Linked DNA regions of Sus scrofa. The protein of the gene in region 1 purifies or fractionates together with the protein of each later gene. This does not show direct contact. Links are inferred from orthologs where the notes say so. Each region holds a gene or a part of one and is shown on either strand. Other genes may lie near its edges.

Region 1 (4,361 bases):
AATCCTGTGATCTTTCATCTATCAGATTTCTTTCAGCTTTTTTTCAGTTCTGAGTTCAAACACTGGCTCTGCCATCAGGTGCCATTTTTTAATAATATGTAGCCCCCATTCCTGTAAAGATTCACAGCTGCATTCCTATTTCCCGTTCCGGGATCTCATTTAACCACTGAGACTCTGGAACTCTTTAACATTCTCACTTATTACACCTACTGACAGTACTTCAAAGAACTCTAGTAAGGGGATCTTGGAGCAACCACACTTGGCTTCTAGAAACCACATTAACACCAATCCATGTAATTACAGATCTACTGTTATAACCTTTGCAAACATCTGTCTTCCATTGTAAAGTTCTTACCCCCTGCAACCCAGGAGACCCCTCTTACCTGCCAACACACACCAATTATCTACCACAGCACTAACTGAATGGAACTAAGAAAGATTTCCAACACTTGGGGGATTCAACTGTCTCTGATGCTTTTGCAAGGTGGTATTATTCTCCATTGTTTTTAAAAACTTCATCAGTTAATCAATTTTCTTTTCTCAGCTTTGTCACCCTTTTGTTGGTAAACCAAACTATTTCTTAGGAATAAGATCTTTTCAGCACCAATATGTACTCAAATATCAATTCCAGGAAAATATATTCATAATTTATACCCTGGGCAATAAAAATAACTCCCACTTACTGCCGTGTTCTTCTCTGCAGTTTATATTTGATAAATTTATTGCATTACATATGTCACTTGGCTTGGCTTCCTTTATAACCAAACTCCCTTTCTTAAAAACAGTATCTGCAGAATCCAACATGGTTAAATGCAAGCAATTCTTCTAAACATAGCACATTTATATTTCAATGCAGTTCTTTTACAGTATTTAGAAAAATTGAGTTTATGAGATGGCTTTAACATAATACAAAGAAGAAAAACTAGTCATAAAAACAATGAATACAATAACAGGTGTTGATAAAGGAAATATTTACAGCCAGCGTCATATATATTTTTACCAAGATCTTATTCTGCTCACAACATATAATGATAATAAGCTTGATTACTTTAAAAATAGTTTTATAGATATTTCAGTGGAAGGAATTTAATAATTCCCTGTATATTTACAAGACAATGTAATCACATCAAGGCTGATTTGGTGGCGGTCCTTTTTAGGAAAAAATGGAGCACTAATAATTCTTTAGGTTCGCATTAAATTAGGTAAAGTAAACATCATACTGCCAAACTGTTATGCATTTATGTATTGCATAAGCTGGGAAGTAAAACAGAAATCTGCACTTTCAAGCTCATATTTTTCTTTTGCAGTTGCAAGTTTTCAACTTGGCAGAGCAATTCTCTAAGAAGAACGGGGCGCAGGACAGGGTAAAAGTGGAAAACAGAATGTTTCTAAAAAACTGAATTCGCCCCTGATTCACTCATACAACATTTATCATTCTACTATGAAAGATGTGATTAAACAAGAAAACTTAAGATGCAAAAAGAACTTCTGTTATCCTAAAAATAAGCATGTCAGCACAGCCATTTTACAACCTTACATTCAAGTACCTACTACAAGATTCAACTTGTACTTTAAAAACATCTTTCAAGTTAAAAAAAAAAAAAGCACTCTTCATACATTCATTGTCAAAATCAATTTGCGGATAGTTTCCAACTTTAAATTTCTGTATTTTTAACTGCTGAAGGGCAGAATTGATTAGTAATTGTTAAGATAACGGACTTAAACTATAAGCAATCCTTGCAAACTCCAGCTGATTTTTAAAATCAGGAAAAATAACTGGCAATTGTTCTTAAAGGAAAAAGGCCACTCCCAAAACAGGTTGATTGGGGTAGCGGGTCCGCTTTTCAGTAGCAGTTCCCTGTTGCGTGTTCGCGTGGGTGAAGTACAAAAGGGTAGAGGCGCAAAAAACAAAAAACAAAAAAAAAAAACCCAAGAAACAAAAAATAGAAACCCACGCAAACCCCTCACAGTTACAAACATTAAAATTACGTAAACATGCTGTGAGGCCGTGAGGCCCCAAGGGAGAACAATCGTCTGGAGAAAGCGACCAGGCAGCTAAGTGTGGAGGCCATGGAGTGTGCTGACCCGGGACACCCGGGCAGAGGGGCCGACGGGGACAAAGACCAGGCATCCCGGGCGGCGCCCCACTGTGCCCAGAACCGGCGGGAAGCAGTTGTTGTGGGGCAGCGACTGCGGCACCCAGGGCCCTGAAACGCCGCGGTTTAATGGTCGGGAGCAAAAGCTCCCCGGGGAACCGACCCTCTTCCTGGCGCCCCTAACGGGTTTCAGGCTCCGACCTCAAACACCTGAGGAGCCGCCGCCCGCCCCTTATCCGTATCCCGAAGGACGTCCGGGCCGCAGCTGTTGGGCTCAGAACCGCGGCGCCGCCGCCGCCGGGCTCCAAACGGCCGGGTTGACACCGGGAAGGCAGCGGGTCCACTGTCTCTCCCCGTGGCGCGTCAAGGAGCTTCCCAACAGCTTGCCTCCTCTCCCGCCCTCTAGTCCGGGACCGCGAACCCTCACGCCACCTACCCGGTCCCACACCATCCCAGAGGCCTCCGGCGTTCAGACCCTCTGCCGAAGCGGCGCTGCCTCCTGTCCCGGGCCTGAAATGGCTGCGGAACAAAGAGAATCTGGGCTTCGGCGAGCGCCGGTCCGATTGGACAGGGGGCGGGGCTCGCCGCGGGAACGTTCGGCGGCGGTCGCCTTGGCAACGGCAGTCGGGCTGGGAAAACCGCGGTCTCGGCCTGCGGGGCCTACGGACCTACGCCCGGCGGCGCGTGGCAGCGGTTTCTAAGTCTGCGCTGCGGCCTCGGGCCTGGGCCTGATGCCGGGCTCCCGCTCGCGCCCCCTGCAGCCGGCGTGCCGGCCGCAGCCTCCGGCTCACGGGAGGAGCCGCCGCGGACGCTGCTCTGCGCTGTGAGGCCTCGACCAAAATGGCCCTGTAAGTGTGGCTCCCTAGGGCTGTCGAAGGCCCTCCTAGCACGACGACCCTCCTCTAGCCTAAATTCCATACCTCAGGACCACCTCCAAAGTGACAGCCTTGCTCTGGGAGCCTATTTCACACTGAACACGCCGCATGTCCCACAAAAATACAGTTCCATCGTCGCTGGTAAAAAGCAGAAATGGCTTCAATGGATAGAGAGTGGACGGCTGCCCGCTAATATTGCAGGATAGGCTTTTGAGGTATGCTGTGTCTAACATATCAACTGCTCTGTAGGGAAAATTAAATGACTTTGAAAATTAGGTTTTACGTCTCCGGGTGTGTATTCAAATTGGAGAAGTTTCTTGCTCTTGGAAATAACAAGTACTCCTCTCCGTAACCAGCCATCATGAGAAATTAAAATGGCTTATTTTCTGAACAGAAAATAATTCAAAATGGAGAGGTAGACGTTTTTTAGAGTAATTCATAATAATGGAAGTGAATAGATAAATATCAGTTCTCTTCCCCGACATTATTCTTATAAATACATTTACTATATGAAAATTTTAAATTCGCATAGCTACATCATTATTTCCTAAGGTGATGATGCCGCTGATAGTCTTCCTCCCATGGTCAGTGTGTGTAAAAATACCGGTAGTCTTGACTGACTTTCCAACTTGCAAGTGCTGTATCTATTATGTTTTGAAAATGTGTAGTGGTTGTTGCCTTCCAGGAGTATTCTAGATAAAATTATAGCACCAATACAAGAAAGTGTTTTTTATACTAAGACATCATGTTAATAACTGTTAATTATTTTCATTTACCACAATCATTTTACAAAAGAACTACTTAAATTTTGGGTCTAGAAGGACCATTTCTATCATTAGGGAATTGAACATAGCAAAAAAAAAAAAATTTTAAATAACTAAAATGTTCATAAATATGATTTCAACATTTTCTAATGTTAATTCGATAGCAATTGAATACAAAAATGTACAGCAAAAAGAGGCTTCCCAAATAGGAGTGGATTACCAAGAAAAAAAATTAATGTAAACCTTCCTAAATGGGAGTTTAGTATAACTGAAGGGATATTTATCTAGAATATGTGTATTTATCCAAATAACAAACAGGGTTTAAATTTAGCATTTGAAAAGTTCCATCATGGTATAGGGAGCCTTGTTTTGTACAAATTGGGGTGTGTGTGGTATCTTCAACTTTACTGAAGAAAAATGACAAGAAAACTTTGTAAATGTATAAGATTAGCAAATAATGACAGATGTAAAGAACTACTGATTAAGCCATTAGTAAGAAATTCACCTGATTAATTGTTTGGAAATCGTTGAAATGAATTGATGAAAAGCAAGTATTATTTAGTGTATGTAAGAGGATTTATTGGCTAAAATCTTTTGAAAGAAAAAATATTGATTACCAAATGTTT
Region 2 (4,469 bases), on another chromosome or scaffold:
CATGCAAAAGTTGTACGTTCTGTGTGACTGGGCAAGCCAGTTGGCCTGAAAGGTGATGACAAATATCCATTAACTAACAGTGCCAGATCTCCCATTCTTATTCCAACCCTCTACTACACAACCAAAAACTTCATTTTTGCCCAGAAACCACTGGACACTTAATCAAATAACATTAGTATAAAACATGCCATGTCATGAAGCTCCTTGCTATTCATGATGACTCAGCAGCTGCTGCAAAACATAGAGGTGACAGCCCAGGAAAGCTGACAGCAAGCAGGTAGTCCATAATCCACAAAAGTTCCAGTAAGCACTAAAGAAAGTCTTGAAGATTTTAAAAATCGTTAAATTAAATAGAATATTCTTTTGTATATTCCCAGATACTTTTCTTTGGTAGTATCTGCCAATACTAACACAATGTATCTGCAATGTTAATCAAGAAACCGCCAAACATCTTTAATCCCAATTCAAAACCTAAAAATGTTCTTTCTTTTTCAATCAGATGGCTCACGCAAATAGCTGAAAGTATTTCAGAGAGGGCGACATGATAAATGATCAAGCTCTAACACAAAACTGCAGAGTCTGAAATCCTATCAGCTCTAAGACAATTTGGATCATAGGTGTTAAATGTTGTTAAGGCATCACCTTCCCCCAAATCAGATTTTTCTCTAAGTACATTTAAAAATAAAGTGCGGTTATAGTTTTTGCTACCTGGAATATATGAGTTCTTCTCTACACTCTGCCCACATCATCCAGTGATCTGTATTTACAACATATCATTTTTTTATGTAGAAACTTTAAGGAGATGTAAGAAAGCACTGAAAGACATTTATTCCTCAGGAAAAACAGAAAGCATGTGTCTAAATTCCACTCTCCAAAAGGATTAGGTTAAATGGCCAGTCCTGTGACCTGAATTTTAATCTCAAATCTGTCTGCAAGTACCCCTGCTCCTCACAAAGAAATCTAAAAACCAAGCACTCCTGGTATATATCTGGGGGACAACTGGTGGTGGGAGCTAACAATAATGCCAAGGCTTATAACCATTAGTAGAAAGATACTTACTATTATAACCCAGTTTTTACTGTTAAGAAATTTCTCCCAAATCTTTATTTTTAAAATTCTGTTTTTTCATGATACAATTTACCACCACTAAACATGTCAAAGTGCTCATATTCATTATCATCCACAACACAGCAATCTAGGAAGTCTGCCTTCAACAGGACGCAACAAGTTTTCAGACCCTTTTGCCATACTTTAGTTTTTTTACAGGTTTAAGACATATACTTCCCACCGAGAAATTTTAAAGGGCCTTTTATTAGAATATTTAACATTTTCCTACTCAATTCCCATAACAAACAATTAACAGCTAAAAAGCAGAATTTTCTCAGACTCTAACATCTCAGTTACAATTAGACTAAACCCCTGTTCATAATTTCGAGCGCCCACGAGTACACAAGGTGACTAAATTATAAGACCACCAATATTCCTAGACTATTAAAAAGTACCTGAACTTCCTAAAGTACGTCCCATAATATTAAAATATTTTGTGCATGAGATGAGAACTGGAGTTCCGGTCAACTGTGCGCAATGGCCAATTCTAGCCTCCAAAATAAAAAGGGGAGGGGTGGACATAGTGGGGAGGGAAGAGTCTTGCGACGGAAAAAAGACGTAAGTGCGGAGAGGGACTTTCAAAATGCCCCGGTGCCACTAACTATAACCCGGTTAAGAAAACAAAAATCTAAGTCAACGCTCTCAGATCGGGAGGCACCCGGGAAGGGGAGATGGAGAATTAACTAATAGGTTGAGAGTAACTTCTTCCACTTGCCGTTTAACAGCGCCCCCCACCACCACCAACCCCCGGGGGCCCCAGAGGCCGATACCCCAGGGCAGCCCCCTCCCCACTCACGCTGAAACGCGGGAGACTAGAAAATATCAAACGTAGGGGCCTCCAGCCACATCTTTTCCTTTCTCCCATCCAGAAGACGTGGGTAACACCCTCACACCCCCAATCCCCGCCAAAAACGAAAGAATCCTAGGCCCGTCGTGGCCTAGGATTTCTGTTCCCGCCCTGCGCCGGTCGGGGGAAAGCCCCAGGCTAAGAGGGCTGGGGAGAGGCGGCCCGAACCACACGTGTGCGCCGCAAGATTGGCCTGTCTCAGCCCACTTCCCGTCGCCACCCCAGCGGCCCGAGCTCCCGCCGCCCTGCTCGGGCCTTCGCTCAGGCCCTCCCGTCCGCTCCACGTGGGGCCCCGGACCCCTCACGCCCGTTCCCTCCCCACCCCAGTGCCCGACCCGCTAGGCCCCGAGGCGCCGGGGTCCCGTACCTGGTGCTGTTGTCGCCCCTGCTGGTAAGGCTTAATTGGCCCCTGGTGGCAACGCCGCGTCCGGATCTTGCCGCCACCGCCCCCTCCTAAGCCTCCGGCTCCCGAGGCCATGGCGGAGCCTCCGCGGCTTCCCCCTGAGGAGCGGGTTAGGGGGCGGGAGAGGCAGAGGCGGCCTTGAGGCCCCCCCGCCCGGCCCCAGCCCAAAAGTCCGTCCGCGCTGCCCACACAGTGGGTCACAGGCACACCAGGAACCGCGGGTCTGCGAGCAGGAGCCGAGAGAGAATGCGCGCTGGCGGCAGCGAAGGGGGTGGCGGCGACACAGGCCGAGGACCTGGCTCCCGTCCGGCAGCCTCCCGCGGACCCCCGCCTCTGTGTATGTCACCGTCTCTATGGAGATTCTCCGCGAGGACAACACAAGAGGTTCCAAGCGCTGCTTAGGCCTAACGCGACCGCCGGCTGACGGGGATTCTTCTTCCGTCGCCCTAGCCGTAGCTGCCGCAGTTGAAGCCGCCGGCGCCGCCCGCCTACCCCTCCCCTTTGCGCACAGCGCCCGCCCCGCCGTCGTCGTCGTCGTCCCTGCAATCGCCGCTGTTGCGTCTATTACCGCTACTAAGGCCGCCGCTGCGGTCGCGAGCCAGGACGCCGTCACTAGTCAGCGCGCGACGAGTTTGCATCATCACGATGTGACCAGGTGATAGGCGGGGAGGTGGGAAGGGCTAGTCGAGCCCGCGCTCTCAGCCGCGCGGGCCGCTGGGAAACGTAGTTCAACGGAAGGAGGCGCGTGCTCAGAACGGAGGACGCGGAAGGAGAGCGGCGGTTCCCTGCAGAGGCACAAAGCCAGGGGTTCCGTTCCTTTTAACTGCTCTTGATTCTAAACTTTGAAAGAGGCATTTAACACAAACGGTAACCTCCTTCCCACTTTCCTTCTCTGGAATGGTAAAGCGGGAAGAAAGTAAGCACATAGTAAAATCACAGAGAGAAGCTAACAATATCTTATAAAAAGAAAAAAACTGGTTGAAAAGACAGTGTCTATGATCTTTAAGCCTAAAACAGAATTAGCAAATATATACAGTTTCATTAATGTCCGTTACAATAAGGGCTTTGTTGTCAAACACACAAGTGCTGTCTGGCTCCACCACTTAAGTTTGACCTTGAAGTCAAAACCTTCCGCCCCTATAAAATGGGAACTTTAAAATCCAGCTTATACAGCTGTTGCGATCATCTACGTGGAGCACTTAGTGTATTTCCTGGCATGCAAGAGATGCAATAAATGGTTACGGTGATCACCTACAGCAGTCAAGCTCACGTTAGAGGTAAGCCGTATATTACCAGTAATAAAAGTATACATATATTTGCTCCAAATAGAAGGCATTATATTTAGCAAAGTGAAAAGTGAGTTAGGCTCAAAGACTTAATCCACAAAGTATAGCGATTTTTAAAAGTTGACCGTTAGAAAGATCTGGGTGATCACGTGCGCCAGCCCTCATTCAACGGACAAGACGGGGTTCCGGAGAATTTAGTCGACATATTGGAGGACACTGAACTGGGCAGTCAAAGCCAGGACTATAACCCAACTTTTCTGTAGGAGTTGAAACAAGTAACCAAGTGATTAGAAAGAAAATCTACTTCTGTGAAAACACATGGGCTTAATGTTCCATTTGAGACAATTGATTTTAAAGCTTATAAATAGCTTTGGATTCAAATAAACTTAATTTTAAATCTATCACTTACTAGCTGTGTAGCCTTGGGTAAGTTACTGATCCTCTTTCTACGCTTCAGTTTCCTCATCTGCAAATAGAATGAATATTAACCTCAACAAGTTGGTGGTTCTGGTGAAAGGATTAATATACATAATTCATAATAACTGCTTAGACAGAAAGCATCTAATATCATCCAGTTATCTGATACAAATAATTAACCTCAAGACTTTTATACCATCTCTACCACCAAATTGCATGATTCCAATCGCTATATAAATCATATAAGTCAAAAGGTGAAGCCAAACTTAAGCAGTACCTTAGAATTTGCAGCATCTTCCAGCATAGGCTGACAGAACAAATGGCATCTCTGACCTTATCACCACCAAGACTATAAAAAGTTCCCAAATATGATGGACAAAATTAATCTACTTCCTTTTGTGCTTCCATT

The links.
Region 2: the proteins of TNPO1 (region 1) and NUP153 purify together in Homo sapiens (co-immunoprecipitation; 3 studies listed by BioGRID and IntAct, with this or other methods). This does not show direct contact. The link is inferred for Sus scrofa from reciprocal best matches to the Homo sapiens genes TNPO1 and NUP153.

Annotation. Positions count from the first base shown.
Region 1 is NC_010458.4:49,047,271-49,051,631, reverse strand, and holds the start of TNPO1 (transportin-1), read right to left. Parts: upstream 2,947-4,361; 5' UTR 2,548-2,946; coding exon 2,533-2,547; intron 1-2,532. UniProt on the Homo sapiens protein: Functions in nuclear protein import as nuclear transport receptor. Serves as receptor for nuclear localization signals (NLS) in cargo substrates.
Region 2 is NC_010449.5:13,463,576-13,468,044, forward strand, and holds the start of NUP153 (nuclear pore complex protein Nup153), read right to left. Parts: upstream 3,003-4,469; 5' UTR 2,433-3,002; coding exon 2,322-2,432; intron 2,204-2,321; exon of another isoform or gene 1,973-2,203; coding exon of another isoform or gene 1,904-1,972; intron 1,841-1,903; exon of another isoform or gene 1,503-1,840; intron 1-1,502. UniProt on the Homo sapiens protein: Component of the nuclear pore complex (NPC), a complex required for the trafficking across the nuclear envelope. Functions as a scaffolding element in the nuclear phase of the NPC essential for normal nucleocytoplasmic transport of proteins and mRNAs.